Linked DNA regions of Oryzias latipes. The protein of the gene in region 2 binds, or shares a complex with, the protein of the main gene of each other region. Links are inferred from orthologs where the notes say so. Each region holds a gene or a part of one and is shown on either strand. Other genes may lie near its edges. The genes, in order: tacc3, aurka and tpx2.

The links.
Region 1: the proteins of aurka (region 2) and tacc3 are in contact, whole or in part, in a crystal structure (PDB 5ODT), measured with the Homo sapiens proteins. The link is inferred for Oryzias latipes from reciprocal best matches to the Homo sapiens genes AURKA and TACC3. Residues at the interface, in NP_001310232.1 of Homo sapiens: Leu130, Phe133, Glu134, Ile135, Gly136, Arg137, Tyr148, Leu149, Ala150, Arg151, Ile158, Val163, Arg205, Tyr207; in NP_001428248.1 of Homo sapiens: Glu523, Ser524, Phe525, Arg526, Pro528, Val531, Leu532, Gly533.
Region 3: the proteins of aurka (region 2) and tpx2 are in contact, whole or in part, in a crystal structure (PDB 3HA6), measured with the Homo sapiens proteins. The link is inferred for Oryzias latipes from reciprocal best matches to the Homo sapiens genes AURKA and TPX2. Residues at the interface, in NP_001310232.1 of Homo sapiens: Lys125, Arg126, Gln127, Trp128, Asp132, Glu152, Gln154, Ser155, Phe157, Leu159, Lys166, Glu170, Gly173, Glu175, Leu178, Arg179, Val182, Glu183, Ile184, Ser186, His187, Leu188, Arg189, Tyr197, Gly198, Tyr199, His201, Val206, Tyr246, Ser249; in NP_036244.2 of Homo sapiens: Gln3, Lys5, Ser6, Ser7, Tyr8, Ser9, Tyr10, Asp11, Ala12, Pro13, Ser14, Asp15, Phe16, Ile17, Phe19, Ser20, Ile31, Asp32, Trp34, Phe35, Glu36, Lys38, Ala39.

Annotation. Positions count from the first base shown.
Region 1 is NC_019880.2:12,233,952-12,237,772, forward strand, and holds the end of tacc3 (transforming acidic coiled-coil-containing protein 3), read left to right. Parts: coding exon 1-58; intron 59-150; coding exon 151-276; intron 277-1,700; coding exon 1,701-1,768; intron 1,769-1,852; coding exon 1,853-1,896; intron 1,897-1,971; coding exon 1,972-2,132; intron 2,133-2,212; coding exon 2,213-2,319; intron 2,320-2,405; coding exon 2,406-2,526; intron 2,527-2,609; coding exon 2,610-2,675; 3' UTR 2,676-2,799; downstream 2,800-3,821. UniProt on the Homo sapiens protein: Plays a role in the microtubule-dependent coupling of the nucleus and the centrosome. Involved in the processes that regulate centrosome-mediated interkinetic nuclear migration (INM) of neural progenitors.
Region 2 is NC_019863.2:11,350,802-11,356,244, forward strand, and holds the start of aurka (aurora kinase A), read right to left. Parts: upstream 3,787-5,443; 5' UTR 3,438-3,786; intron 3,127-3,437; 5' UTR 3,124-3,126; coding exon 3,058-3,123; intron 2,549-3,057; coding exon 2,203-2,548; intron 2,124-2,202; coding exon 2,087-2,123; intron 1,996-2,086; coding exon 1,804-1,995; intron 35-1,803; coding exon 1-34. UniProt on the Homo sapiens protein: Mitotic serine/threonine kinase that contributes to the regulation of cell cycle progression.
Region 3 is NC_019865.2:31,504,904-31,508,947, reverse strand, and holds the end of tpx2 (targeting protein for Xklp2), read left to right. Parts: intron 1-129; coding exon 130-256; intron 257-323; coding exon 324-543; intron 544-618; coding exon 619-714; intron 715-791; coding exon 792-965; intron 966-1,041; coding exon 1,042-1,188; intron 1,189-1,255; coding exon 1,256-1,367; intron 1,368-2,072; coding exon 2,073-2,257; intron 2,258-2,553; coding exon 2,554-2,664; 3' UTR 2,665-2,884; downstream 2,885-4,044. UniProt on the Homo sapiens protein: Spindle assembly factor required for normal assembly of mitotic spindles. Required for normal assembly of microtubules during apoptosis. Required for chromatin and/or kinetochore dependent microtubule nucleation.

The DNA.
Region 1 (3,821 bases), on a different chromosome or scaffold from region 2:
GCTGGTAACGGTCCTTCCAAACGATGACTGTAAACTGCTGGAGGATGCTGCAGCATTAGTGAGTCATATGGATGATTTTATCACACGTGCACACTCGCAGTCCTTCACCATTTCACCCCAATGGGAACATTTCCTGCCTGTTTTTTGTAGACTCCTGTCCTTGAGAGCATCATCCCTCCTTTCCCGCAGCCCGCAAACACAGAAGACGCCATCATCGAAGTTTTGAAGTACAGTCAGAAGGACATGGACGCGGCTATTGCCAAAGTGCAGGCAGAGGTATTCACTTTCACTTTTAATAATAATAATAATAATGGATTGGATTTTTCTGCGCTTTTCAAGACACCCAAAGCGCTTACATTATGTCCATTATTCATTCACTCCTCATTCATACTTGGTGATGGTAAGCTACGGTTGTAGCCACAGCTGCCCTGGGGCAGACTGACAGAGGCGTGGCTGCCAGTTCGCGCCTACGGCCCCTCTGACCATCACCGGGATCATTCATGCGCATTCACACACCAGTGGAGCCACACTGGAGGCAAGGAGGGTGAAGTGTCTTGCCCAAGGACACAACGACATTTTTGGCTGGTGGGAGCGGGGATCGAACCGCCAACCCTTCGATCATTGGACGACCCGCTCAACCACCTGAGCCACTGTCGCCCCAACTAACTTTTCAAGTGATTGTCTTAGCTACCAGATTAGTTTATTAACTTGACATAAATAATGATTACTAATATTTTCTCACTCAAAGAATATTACCGTAGGATGGAAGTTAATTTCTTTTGTTTTAGTAAAAAAAAAGGTATCCGTGCATCTTTAATATAGAAAAAATCAGAATCAGGCTTTCTAGTACCGTATTTTAATGACCACGGGGCGCACCTGGTGTTAAGGCGCGGGCACATTAACGCCCCTTCGGACCCTCAGAGCCTCCAGAGTGGGTTAATAAAATAACCAGTTTCTGTTCTTTAGAGGAAACATTTTTATTTTTACTGTTCTCCCTAACTGAGTTACACAAACTGAATGCTCACACACTTACTTGCGTGGGCATCTCCCTTCGTCCTTATCCTACACACGCGCTTAGCGAAAACGCTGCTGCCTTCAGGACAAACATAAACACACACACACACACAGGCTTGCGCCGTGTGTCTGCTTTTCTCCTTCCTGTATGCGCTGGCGAAAACACAGGCTTACGCACACACACAAACACTCAGTGTGTGTTTAAAAAAAAAACAGCAAGAGAAAGTCTGAGTTAGTTTTGATTTATTTTTTCTCCACATAGCTGATAGCTGGAGTTCAAACAGGGCTTCAGCCATTTTGTAAATAGTGTTGTGGGGACCTGAGCCTTAGCCCCGCCCATGGCCACTAAGACTCATGGGAAGTGTTGATGTCCACACCATGAGTTAGGGAGCTGTGAAGAGAAGTCGGCCTCATGTTGTTACACTGTCCTTGAGTCACTCACCTACTTCTCCGGTGCTTCTCAGCAACTCATTAGGTGCCCCACCTCTTAAGGCGCCCCCTACAGTCTGTCTTTAAAGGGCGCCTTATAGTTGTTTAAAAACATTTTACTTTTGTATTACTCTGAAAAAACGTCGAAGAAAACTAATCATTCAAAATCTTTTGAGTGTTTGGCAAATAGTAACTCTTGTTTTGTAATCAGGATTGAACTGCAGTCAGCCTTTCATTTGTGTGCATTTCCTATATAGGCAAAAGAAAAAGAGCAGCACTGGAGTGACAAGTATGACAAGCTCCAAAATGATGGTCAACAAATGAGGCGAGTTGATGCCGAGCCAATTTTTTATATTTTTTTGACATTTCAGATGCTTTAAATATTGAATAAATATTTTTTCTGTCACAGGAAGATGATCATTGAATTCGAACTCGCCATCGCAAAAACGATGGGTAAGTTAACCTTCATCACAGAAGGGGGGCAGGTTTTTGGAAAAGGCTGTTCATGCTCCAATTTTCTGCCATCAGCTGATCACGAGAAAGAGAGGGAAGAGGCACGAGAAAACCTCAAAAAGGCCCTGCAGGAGAAAGAGCAAGTTTCCAGTGAGCTGAATACCATAGAAAAATCTTTTGCTGAGCTTTTTAAGAGACTGGAGAAGTACAAGGAAATGGTAGAGGGTTACAAAAAGGTATGGGTTAATGAGCATTTTTTTGTGTAATTTACTTTTTTTTTAATGTAAGGGTATTTAAGTAGTTGTATTTTCTGTAGAATGAAGAGATACTGAAGACTCGTGCACAGGATTACCAGGAAAGAATCAAAAAGGAGGAGCAGCGCTACCAGATCCTCAAAGCTCATGCTGAGGGGAAAATTGGCCAGTAAGTTTTTGTTTTTGTTTTTTGTCTGTAGGTTTTCAAGCTTAGAAAGATTTCAGGACATAAAGATTTTGTCCTTCTTTCCTTAGAGCAAATGAAGAAATTGCTGAGGTTCGATCTAAATACAAGGCAGAGTTCTCAGCTCTTCAGGCACAGCTACGCCGGGAGCAGCTGAAGGTTCAGTCCGTGGAGAAACGTCTGGATCAGAAAGTGAGTCAACAGAAATAAGCTTGCGTTTGCAAATTTGACTATAAAACTGGAACGACACCAATCTTTTTTTGTCTCCCATTCAGGAAAAGGAGGCCCAGGAGCTCACCAAACTCTGTGATGACCTGATCTCTAAAGTTCAGAAGGGCTGAGCTTGTTTGTAAATACTGTATTTTTGTGTCCATATCATTTTTTTGTGTAGTGTTTTTCTGTTTATCAGTGTTCTGATGATACTGTTTAACAAAAAGAAAATAAAGATAATTTTACAAGTTTTACCATTGAAAATTTGATTTTTCACGTGTGGGCCACTAGAGGGCAGTGTTTCCACTTGCATCTGTGCATTGGGACTTGAAGCTTTAGTTTTGGATCTGCAGGTAACACGAGTCTCTATGTTAATCAGTGCAGAGTGCTCTTAAGTGCACAGATGGAAAACTTGTCATTCGTCCGGAGCCAAAGCTCATCTCCATGCTGCGATTCTCCCAACAAACAACAGCTCACCTCATACAATGCTCCCCTTCTTTCCTCAGCAATCACTGGGTCTTGTCACATCACTCCCACAGCAGGACAATGTACTTCCTAAATGGTGAAAGGAAACCCTACCTAGATCAGAGTTGAATGAGATGGTGATGCAGAGGCGGAGAAGGGGGACGATTCACTTAAACGGAGAAAAGATGTCAGCCGTTTGGGTGTAGTCTTGCAGGGGACATCACTCATCTAAAAAGCAACCGTGAGACTGCTCTGGTGTCTATTCAGTCTTTCATCCCCGTCGCTCGTGTCCCTCTGGCTGCCCTTTGAGTCACCCTCCAACACTCTGCTCTGCTCTGAGGACGACACTACACCTGTGAGAGAACCTGGCCCTTTTGTTCATGAGATGCTCAGCCTCAGCTTTGGTTTACAGCCACAAAAAAACCATTCTAAAAGAAAAAAATAGTCCAGAACAGCACCCAAACTGATTTCAGTTTTTTTAATCAAACTATCAAATCTTAAAGAATGCATCATACAAGATTGTCAAATACAAGCTACTTGAAAAAATACCTAAATATTGGCAATAAAGTAAATGCGAATAAACAAGTGAACAAAGTTTTCAAAATGTACAACACACAACAGTATACTTTAATAACATTCAATAGATAAGTGAAATGCCTTACTCTGAAAAATAAACCTTTAAATTCTTTTAGGAAAATAAATTAAATATTCTGATTACAGCTTCATAAACTGCTTGGATAAGGTGGGGGTCAAAAAGACTAAATCTCTTCTGGTTTATGTCAAAATGCTACTGACTAGTAATGCTACCTACA
Region 2 (5,443 bases):
GAAGTAGCCGTACAGACGCAGAATGTTAGGGTGCCTGCAGAACACAGAAGAGAATAAAAATTAAAAAAGATACAGAACAAGATTAAGCAAATATTCCGGCAGAGATAAAGTAAAATGAAATCTTCTAAATACCTCAGAGAAACTAAGGGGGGAGCTTGAAGTTTATAAGACAGAAAAAAGGGAATCAGGTAATTTTTTTGTATTTTTTCTGGAAATAAAACTTTTGACCAAAGTGTAGAAATAAATCGTTTTTATAAAAGTTCCACGTTTGAGTTTATAGATCTGCATTAAAACAAATGATCTACGTCTTAAACATGCTTATTCACAACAACATAATCTCATTGTGACATTTACTGCTCTGCACTGTTGATTTAAAGACCCACTCCAATAAAAAAAATCATGCTTTTTAACATGTTCTTGTAGGATTCTTCTCATGTTGGAGAACATATATTCAGGAAGTTGGAAAGAAAACTGAATTCCTGAGCATTTCTTTTTTCAGGTGCAGCAAAAAAACTCAGTTGTGACGCAGCAACTGAAATGGGTTTTTACCAGTCTACTTGTTCACTCCATTCTGATGCATCCGCTTGCAGACAAATGGATACATTACCGTCTTCCTTTTCCTCCTCTGAGCTGGATCCTGCTTACAGCTGGATGGCTCTGATTTTCAGGGATTGTACACTTTTTTTTTTTAGCAATGCTTTATCCATAACTTTTCACAGAATTTCCAAAACTAAAAATAAACACATTTCGGTAACTATTGCAGTCGGTGCCGCCAACTCAAACCAAGAACACACATGGATACATCCAAGTTCTCCTGCCTTGCTGTTAAAATTGCAGCCTTCAGCTTCACATGGAAGCAAAGTCCGGCAGGGACCGTCAATGAAGTACACGAAAACGACCCCGAAAATCAATTTCTCACAACTCACCCTCAATAATCTCAAAAACATCACAAGAACACATTATTGTTTAAACAACCTTCACTAAAATCCCTAATGTCAGTCGTAGACGCGTCCTTAGCTCCTCGCTTTAGGACTACAACTGTTATACCAGTAGTTCAGAAAAATATTAAGAGCAAATTCTGAAACAAAACTCATAGCAAAAATCATAAGAATTATGGTGAAGTCGACCACACCCACAACGGGAGCCTCCAGCAGGTCAACCACGGGCTTTGCGCCTATTATTGTCGTTGAGATTGACTCAAACAAAAGAAACAAACAGTTCCTACTGGTTAATATTTGAAACTTACCCAACATTTTGCTTTGTAACATTTGTGAATAAGTAGGAAGAAGAAAACAGACTGGTGATATTGTGACAAACACAAACAGATCATGTCTATGAGACTTTTTCTACTTCTAATTGCAGCTCATCCTATAGTTTTCATGAGCAGATGAGGTTAGAGCCCGGGCTGCTTAGACTTCTTTGCTTATGTAGAACAAAAAGCACGAAAAGACTTGGAACGAAGATCTCCTGTTTTTTTTTTTTTTAAATCTAACAAGCTTCCATAGTAACGCCATCATAACCCATTTTAAAAAGTTCTCTCTCAAAGTCGGAATCTCCTGAATGAGTAGTATTGGATTTTGCGTCACCCCCACATTGTATAAGCTTTCTCTATAAACAGTTATGTAAATGACAGCAATATTGTTTTTGCAATTTTGACTGTGAATCTGTTTGCTGTACTGGAGTTTGTCAGTCAATGATTGTAAGGTACAAACACTAGATGGGATCAGCCCCAAAATCATAATCAGGTTGAGATTTGTGTCTGCAAATACTTGTTTGGGATGAGATCAGGTTAGCCAGAATTACCTGAGATGTGACTGGATTTCCACCTCTCGTCTCAACTGATGCTCCACCCCAGCCCTCTCCAGTTGCTTCTTGAAAAGAACCTTCAGAGCCAAGATGAACTTGGTCTGTCGCTCTCGGGCGAGGTAGACGTTGCCGAACTTTCCCTTTCCTAAAGGACGACCAATGTCAAAGTCTTCTAGGCTCCATCGCTTCCTGTATGAGCACAACAGTCTGGTTACAGCCTTCCAGAGAACATTTTCAGGCTTATACATGCATGATAAAAAATAGTCTGTACTTGACATACTTGGATGTAGAGCCCTGCTCAGTTCTTGAGAGCTTGCCTGATAAAATATAATATATATGTATAAATAACTTATTTTTAAACGTGAGAAATGTGTTTAATTCAGTGGCATAACCTACTCTGTTGCTTGTCTGCTTTTATGGGTTCCGACGGTGGCTTGGCCAAATCTGGATTTGCACCGAGAACCTGAGTCTTTGGTTGGTTTTGCTGGGACGTAGGTTTAGACGGTGGAGCATGATGTGCATTCAGAGTAGCTGGATTCACATTCTGATCGCCAGAATGTGAGGACTTGTTGGTAAAAGCGACTTGAGATACCGGTTTCTGATGACTAACAGGTCGCTGGATACGCTGAGGTCCATTTGACACACTGAGAACTCGCTGATGCGAGGTGGGTGTGACTATTGCCTTGGGAACCATTTGATGCTGTTGAGACACAGGAATTCGTCGTGGTCCATCACTGCCGGACTGCAATTAAGAGACCAGCAAATAGAAATTTTAACATTTAATTCAAGGAAATGCAGCTTTACATATTGCTACATCAGTATTACTTTCTAACCTATATTACCATTAGGGGTTGTAGATTCATAGTTCATTCTTGTTTGATTTGAATGATTCGATCTGTTTCACTGACCTACAATGGATCCCAGACATCTTTAACCAAAATTCAACCAGTGTGACTCAGAGATACACATAAAAATAATATATATGGAACAGTATTAGAAGGTTCTATCACACCGTATAATCATGTTTTTGCTAAATCCAAAGTGTTTCCACACATTTTGTAATGATGGCTTGATCACGTGCGTTGTCCGCTGTGATGTCACTTGGTCATTTATATTTCTCAATCCAAATGGTATTTTCCAACATTGAATATAAATCAATCCCTAATTACTATACTATATATGAAAATGCAGTGAAGGGCATAAAAAAGTTAGACATTTAAACTTAAAAAAAGAAAATCAGTCTGACTTCACCTGCTTTATTTCAGGCTTTTGCAGTTTCACACTCTTTGTCACCTTGAGTGAGGGAGAAGGATCCATTTCCTGAAGGAAAAAGTTTATATTATTATAAGTATATAATTCAAATAGCGTATCAGATGAAAACACGAGGAAATTATAGGCTTAGGTCCGCAATGCTAACTGTAGTACTTACACAGACAATGATCAAATATAATCTTAGTGAACAAACTATGCACGTAAAGGTAAAACATTTATAAAAGTAAATACTTTAAGTCAAGTTAAAAGAGCTGATGTTCTCTTCTCCAGAGGCTAGCTAACGTTAATGAACAAGTGCTTCTGTTAGCTTAGCAACTATCATACAAACTATTTTTAATGCAACGTCTGACATAACTTACCCAAATGTACTACTGCACAATGATATACAGCAACCACGGCACGTTAAAATATCCAGAATTAATCAGTCCAATACATTCAAGAAGAAAAAAACCATGCCCACGTAGATGCTACGAAAGCTAGCTAACGAAAGATAATTCCTTTTGTCTAAATATAAACGCAAAGTCCAGTGAAACGTTACGAACAGACAACTTGTTTGGACTGAAAGCAAATAAATATATGCGGCAAAACTAGTTCAAAACACCTAAAAGGTTTAAACTACAGAGATGTCTGTGACCACACGATTCTTTTCCTGAAACGCTGATTAGAAATTTCAAACGTCCCTGTTTTAACCTTTAAAAAAAATCAGCTGGTCTGATTGGCTGACAGAATGCCCAATTTCGGTTTCCTATTGGCTAATACAATGTATCGAATGGGCGGCAGGAACGTCATGGGTAATTGGAGTTCCAAAGCACTAGATGGCAGAGCGCAGGTTCAGTTCGGTCAGTTTAAACAATTTACGAAAACAAACAAATAAACGCAAAAAAGATAAAATTAAAACTATCTCAAAACGGTAATAGCTATTTAGAAAGAAAAAAACACGAGGGGAGAAGTTTAACAGACCAAAGTAAATGGTTGGTCAAGCTCATTCTGCGCCAAAAAAAAGGGAGGGGGGGGGGGGGTTATAATTCAACACCCGTCCAAGGTTTTCTTTGGTTACTCACATAAAATTGATTAGGATAATGATGACGCATGGGCTAACTAAATACTTTTTTATTTTGTTTTTTAAGACACTTGCGGCCCCTTGTGTTTATAATGAGTAACTACATCTCCCCCATTCTTGAGGCCTTCAGATGAACGAATATAATTTGATTTTTAATTCAAAAGTACCCAACTAGCTCACAAAAATTAGTTTAGTCTCTATTAGTTTAGTCTCTCTTTTCCATAATAGAAAACGTCTTTCAATAAGTGGTTAAAATTTTTAGTCCCAAGTGTTTGTTTTCTCAGTTATATTTTATTATGAAAATATTTAAAGCAAAACCCACAGAACTCTCATGGAAAATAAAATATTGAGGGGAAGCTTTTAAGTTAAAATATTTTACTTTTATTCTTATATTCATTTTTTTTCTCCTGTTCACAGGTAACATTTCTTTAGTTGTACATTCTTTTTTGATGTAAAGACTAGCAAGAAATAAACAGTTTTTCTAAATAAATACATTCTTTAAAGTTTTAGAAATATTGTATCAAAGAAGGCGTCTACAATACCATAGAACAGTTCATACAGTTACAGCGGCTTCATTGTGCAGCACCTGCAGCGACCTTTAAACTGAAAGACCGCCGACTGGATGTTAAACGTTCAATTTCTGCATTTAACTTAAAGTTGACAGACGACACATTTACATTGACAGAAAGGCAGAATCTGACAAGGTCTTACTATAAAAATATAAATATGGCGAGAACATTGATCCCTTCTTTTAACTTAAATAATACAATAAGTCTTTATACAACAGTACATTCATTCAGGCTTTGCCTAAAAAACAAAAATAAAGAGACAGTGTTGGTATTGCTGAGGTCCCGCAGAGAAACATTACAGAAATAGTTCTAATAAAGAAATCAAACTGGCCCTGAAAGTTCGGATCGCTTAGATAGATGGAGTAGAGTTCTCCACCTGTTTCCTTTGAACTGCTTACATTTATACATCTACCTTCCTAAGTTAGTGTGAGTGCAGTCGGCTGTGTTGAGGAACAGTTTTTTTTTTTTTTTTAACAGAACATGAGATCTGAAAGTACAACCGTCTCAACTTTGGCACTTTTCTTCCATATCTGGTGCCTTTAAAGTCAAACTCTGAGCACACAAAGACAGGTAGTGTTTCCATCTTTCCTGAGCGCGTCACATCCACTTGATCCTAAAATCACTGTCATCTCACTGAATAGATAGAATATAGATGGCAAAGTGTGCCGCTCGAGTAATACAGAAAACCAAGAGCACCAGAGCAGCCCAACGAAGGACTGGTTGTATAGATAAGCAG
Region 3 (4,044 bases), on a different chromosome or scaffold from region 2:
TTACAAACCAAAAACCCGCTGAGCTCCTGCAGCGGGGGTTCTACCTTTTTATGAAACTATTCTGACGTCAAAGTGCATCTGTGCAGTTTGGTCACACGACTGACTTCACCGTTATGTCTTTCTTGGCAGTGAAAGCAAGCCACCTGAAGCTCACCCAGCCCCACTCCCCCCACCTGATGACGCGGCAGAGAAGCAGACCCACCTCAGTGAAGAGCAGCGTTGAGCTGGAGGCAGAGGAGATGGAAAAGCAGAAGAAGTAAGGCCGCACGCCCGCTGGTGCTGCCCTGTTGGGACGCTGTTGGACGTCTGTTTCCTCCCGGCAGGTTCAAAATCAAAGCTCTGGAGCTGAACAAGAAGATCCTGGAGGGAGCAGAGGAGCTGAGGAAGCCGCCGGTGAAGGAGCCAACCGTACCTCAAGGCTTTGAGCTGGAGCTGGAGAGGAGGCTCCAGCAGAGGCAGGCCACCAAGAAGAGCGAGGATGAGGAGAAGCCCCACAACTTCAAAGCCAACCCTCTGCCCAAAAAGGTCCTGGACGGGGTTGTGGTGAGTGGAGTGGAAGGGCACTGGGGGGCTCGGTCCTTCCCACAGCAAGGTGACGTAATGTCGCTCTGTGGACAGGGCCTACCTGAGAAGAAGGTGCTGCATCCCACTGTGCCGGAATCGCCTGCTTTTGCCCTCAAGAAGAGGATCCGTGTGGAACGGAAGGCTGAAGAGGTAAGAAAGCTAGAGCTGTCCTTTCAACCAGCATCCCTCCAGCTCACTCATGGCCCTTTTTTGACCTGCTGCTTCAGGTAAAGCAGCCCTCTCCTGTGAAGGCGCCGCCGGTGCCTCACTTTGGCCTACCGTTCCAGCCCCGCCTCCCAGAGGACCACCACCTGGACGTGTGTCCTTTCTCATTTGAGGAGAGAGAGCGGGAGAGGCGGGCGTTAAAGGAGAGGAAGCTTGAGGAAATGAGAAACCAGGAGGTGAAGCCTTTCCGTCCTTAACCAGCAGTCTGAGCACAGCCACAGTCCACTCATGCTGCTCCCTCCGCCTGTCCAGGTCCCACAGTTCAAGGCGCAGCCGCTGCCGGACTTTGACACCGTGGTTCTTCCTGAGAAGAAGAAGCTTGAGCCCACTAAGCCAGAACCCTTCAAGCTGCTGATCGATGAACGTGGAGCCGTGAAGAGCAGCCGCTGGGAGCAAATGGTACCGCAGGACCCGACACGCTTCACATTCCTGTTCCCACTGAGCCTCATGTCTCTGTGTCCTGAAGGTGAAGGAGGAGCAGAAGCACCAGGAGGGGGCAGCAGCATTCAAGGCCCGGCCCAACACAGTCATTCATAAAGAACCCTTCAGGCCCAAGAAGGAGAGCCGGCCCACGCTGGGTAAGAACTAGGGACGGCCCGTGTGACACGGACGCTTCGGCGCTTGTGAGTGGCTCGGCACGATGTTCAGGGCCGCGTGTCCCTAAACACGGTGCAGTTCACGTGGTTGATGAAACATGAAGCATTGTTTGGTGGAACCGGGGTTCAGATGTCACTCGTGTGAAAAAAGCATGAATCCCAAACGGCCTTCATGACCACGGCTCCTGGTAAACAAGGTTCTGTGGCTGCTTGGAGCATTTCCACTTGGTTTCTCCTAATAAGGTCATACAGGATAAACCTGGTTTATAAAGGGGGGCGGTTTGGTAAATTTATGACGGCCAGGGACCACAGTCACATTACAGCTGACTCTATGACTAACTCCGGTTTAAGGCCAGGTTTTTGCAATGTTTCCACGGCTTCATGGGGCTCTACCCCCACCCGTAGTAAGAAGCTTCCATCCACGTCTTCGTGGCTTCAGTGTGAGGATTCATGTTTATTGATGGTGCAGGTTTCACTTTTATTCAGTTCATTTCTTCAGTCCTGTGAAGAGTTTAAGACAAAACCAGACCTTTCACTGAAAACAGACTGACTGGAAGTGACCGTCTGCAAAGAAGCTGGGGTGCGTTCAGGAGAGCGCCTCCGCCGCGGGCGGGCTCGGCGCTCTCCGCCGTTGTGTAACTCATGATGTTCTTGTCTTCACCTTGGTCCTCCGGTTCTCCTGAGAAGACGTTCATTCTTCTACAGTAGTGGAAACCTTTGAGCTGGCAACGGAGCGGCGGGCCAAAGAGTGGCAGGAGTACGAGCGCACGGTCAGCGAGAAGGAGGCGCTCAGAGCACGCATGGAGGTGGAGCAGAGGCGAGAGGAGGAGCAGCGGATCAAAGAGGAGATTGCCATGCTGCGGCAGGAACAGGTGAGTGAAGAAGCTCCTCCCCCTTTAGCAGCTGAAAGGGGTTTTCTTCCAGATTTGATTTTTAGCTCCATTGTTTCAGCTGTAATACTGTTGCCATGGTAACTAGAAAGTGCGCACATTGGCGGTGCAGACCAGGCTAAAGTTCAGAATTTTCATCTGGTCCAGAGAGCTTCATCTGCTTTGGACCTGAACCCATTCATGACTGTTCTCTGGAGAACGGCGAGCGCTGAAACCTGCTGTGCATCAGCGTCTGCACAGTTCTGCTCAGCCGTTTGAACGCCTGTCTCTGTCCTCAGGTCCATAAGGCTCAGCCCATCCGGCAGTACAAACCCGTGACGGTGAAGAAGAGCGAGATCCCCCTCACGGTTCCAGAGTCGCCCAATTTCTCCGACCGCTTCCGCCTGTGAAGCCCGCCTTGTTTGGGCAGAATCCCAGATGTAGACGTTTATGTTCATGATTTTACTCCGTGTAGCTTTTAAGTGGAACCTTTTAGAGACGTGGCATGCACCCTGAAAGTTTGTAAATTGTGTACATTTGTTTTCCATGGAACTGCCAGTCGTTCCTCTTTTCTTGAATGTGCATTAATGTATCCATGCAGTTTTGAATAAAATGTGATGCAAACACAAAGGAGACAAAGTTATTGACTGACATGAACCGGAACAGAAATGTGGTTCAAGTATTTGATCCACTTTAAAGAATCGACACGTTAGAACGATGCTTTTGGCTGGAAGAACAATAACGCTTTAATATTTGAAACATTTAGGGCTCGTTTTCCTTTAACCCTTGTGCTATCTTAGATGACCCCACCCTTCCATTGACGTGTTCTCCCTATCATGACAAAGGTGGATAAAGGTGGAAAGATTTCATGTAATCCATGGACACCAGTGAAGATCACAAATCACTGAAGAAAAAAGGTTCAGAGCACTGTCTAGTGGGTCTAGATGACCCAACTCCCAACGTCAAAGTGCCTAGGATAGCACAAGGGTTACGGGGAATTTTAACACTGGACAGTGCTGTAGACGTGGGCTTCTAAAGGGTTAAAACAACAAATGTACAATTAAAGAGGAAAACATGTTATTAGGGTCAGTGTTTAAGGATCTGCACATGGCGTTCTCCTTCACTCCAGAACTTTGAAATCAGTCAAGTGTTCAAACTAAAAGTTTACAATTATTTTTATTGAAATAAAACTGAAAAGCCTTGAATTTTCGTAGGAATCAGATGGATTTTAGTGTTAGACAGCACCCGGAGGGTCACCAGCCCGGAATTCCACATAGAACCTAACCTACTAGAAAAGCTGATCGAATAAAAAAACAATAAATAATTTGGAGTGTCAGTTCAGCTCTGCAGATAAAAACATGACCAAACTGCAGGGGATCAGACCCAAACCCACAAATCCAGACTAAACAGGAGCTCAAACAGAAAAACCTCACTGGGCCACCTAACTACATTTCCCATGATGCCCCTAGAAGGACTTGGAATAGCTCAGGTTGGATCTCACGAGTGCAGGAGGTTCCTGAGGGAAAACGGACTGAAAACCGAGGAGACTCACGTTCCTGAGCGGGTGGCAGAGCGCCGCTGGAGTTTGGCCACCGCCATTCTCAACAGAAGGTTCAGTTCTCTGTCATGAGATCTAAGTTAAGCATCTGTGAGAGGGTCAGAAACATTTAGGACCGAAGAGCCTTCATTCAGCATAGCAGCATTCAGAAACGGCAGGGAGGAAGCCCAGAAGTTCCCCAGCAGAGAGGAAGCAGAGCCGCGTCTGGAGCTCCTGTCGGGTCTGGAGTGAA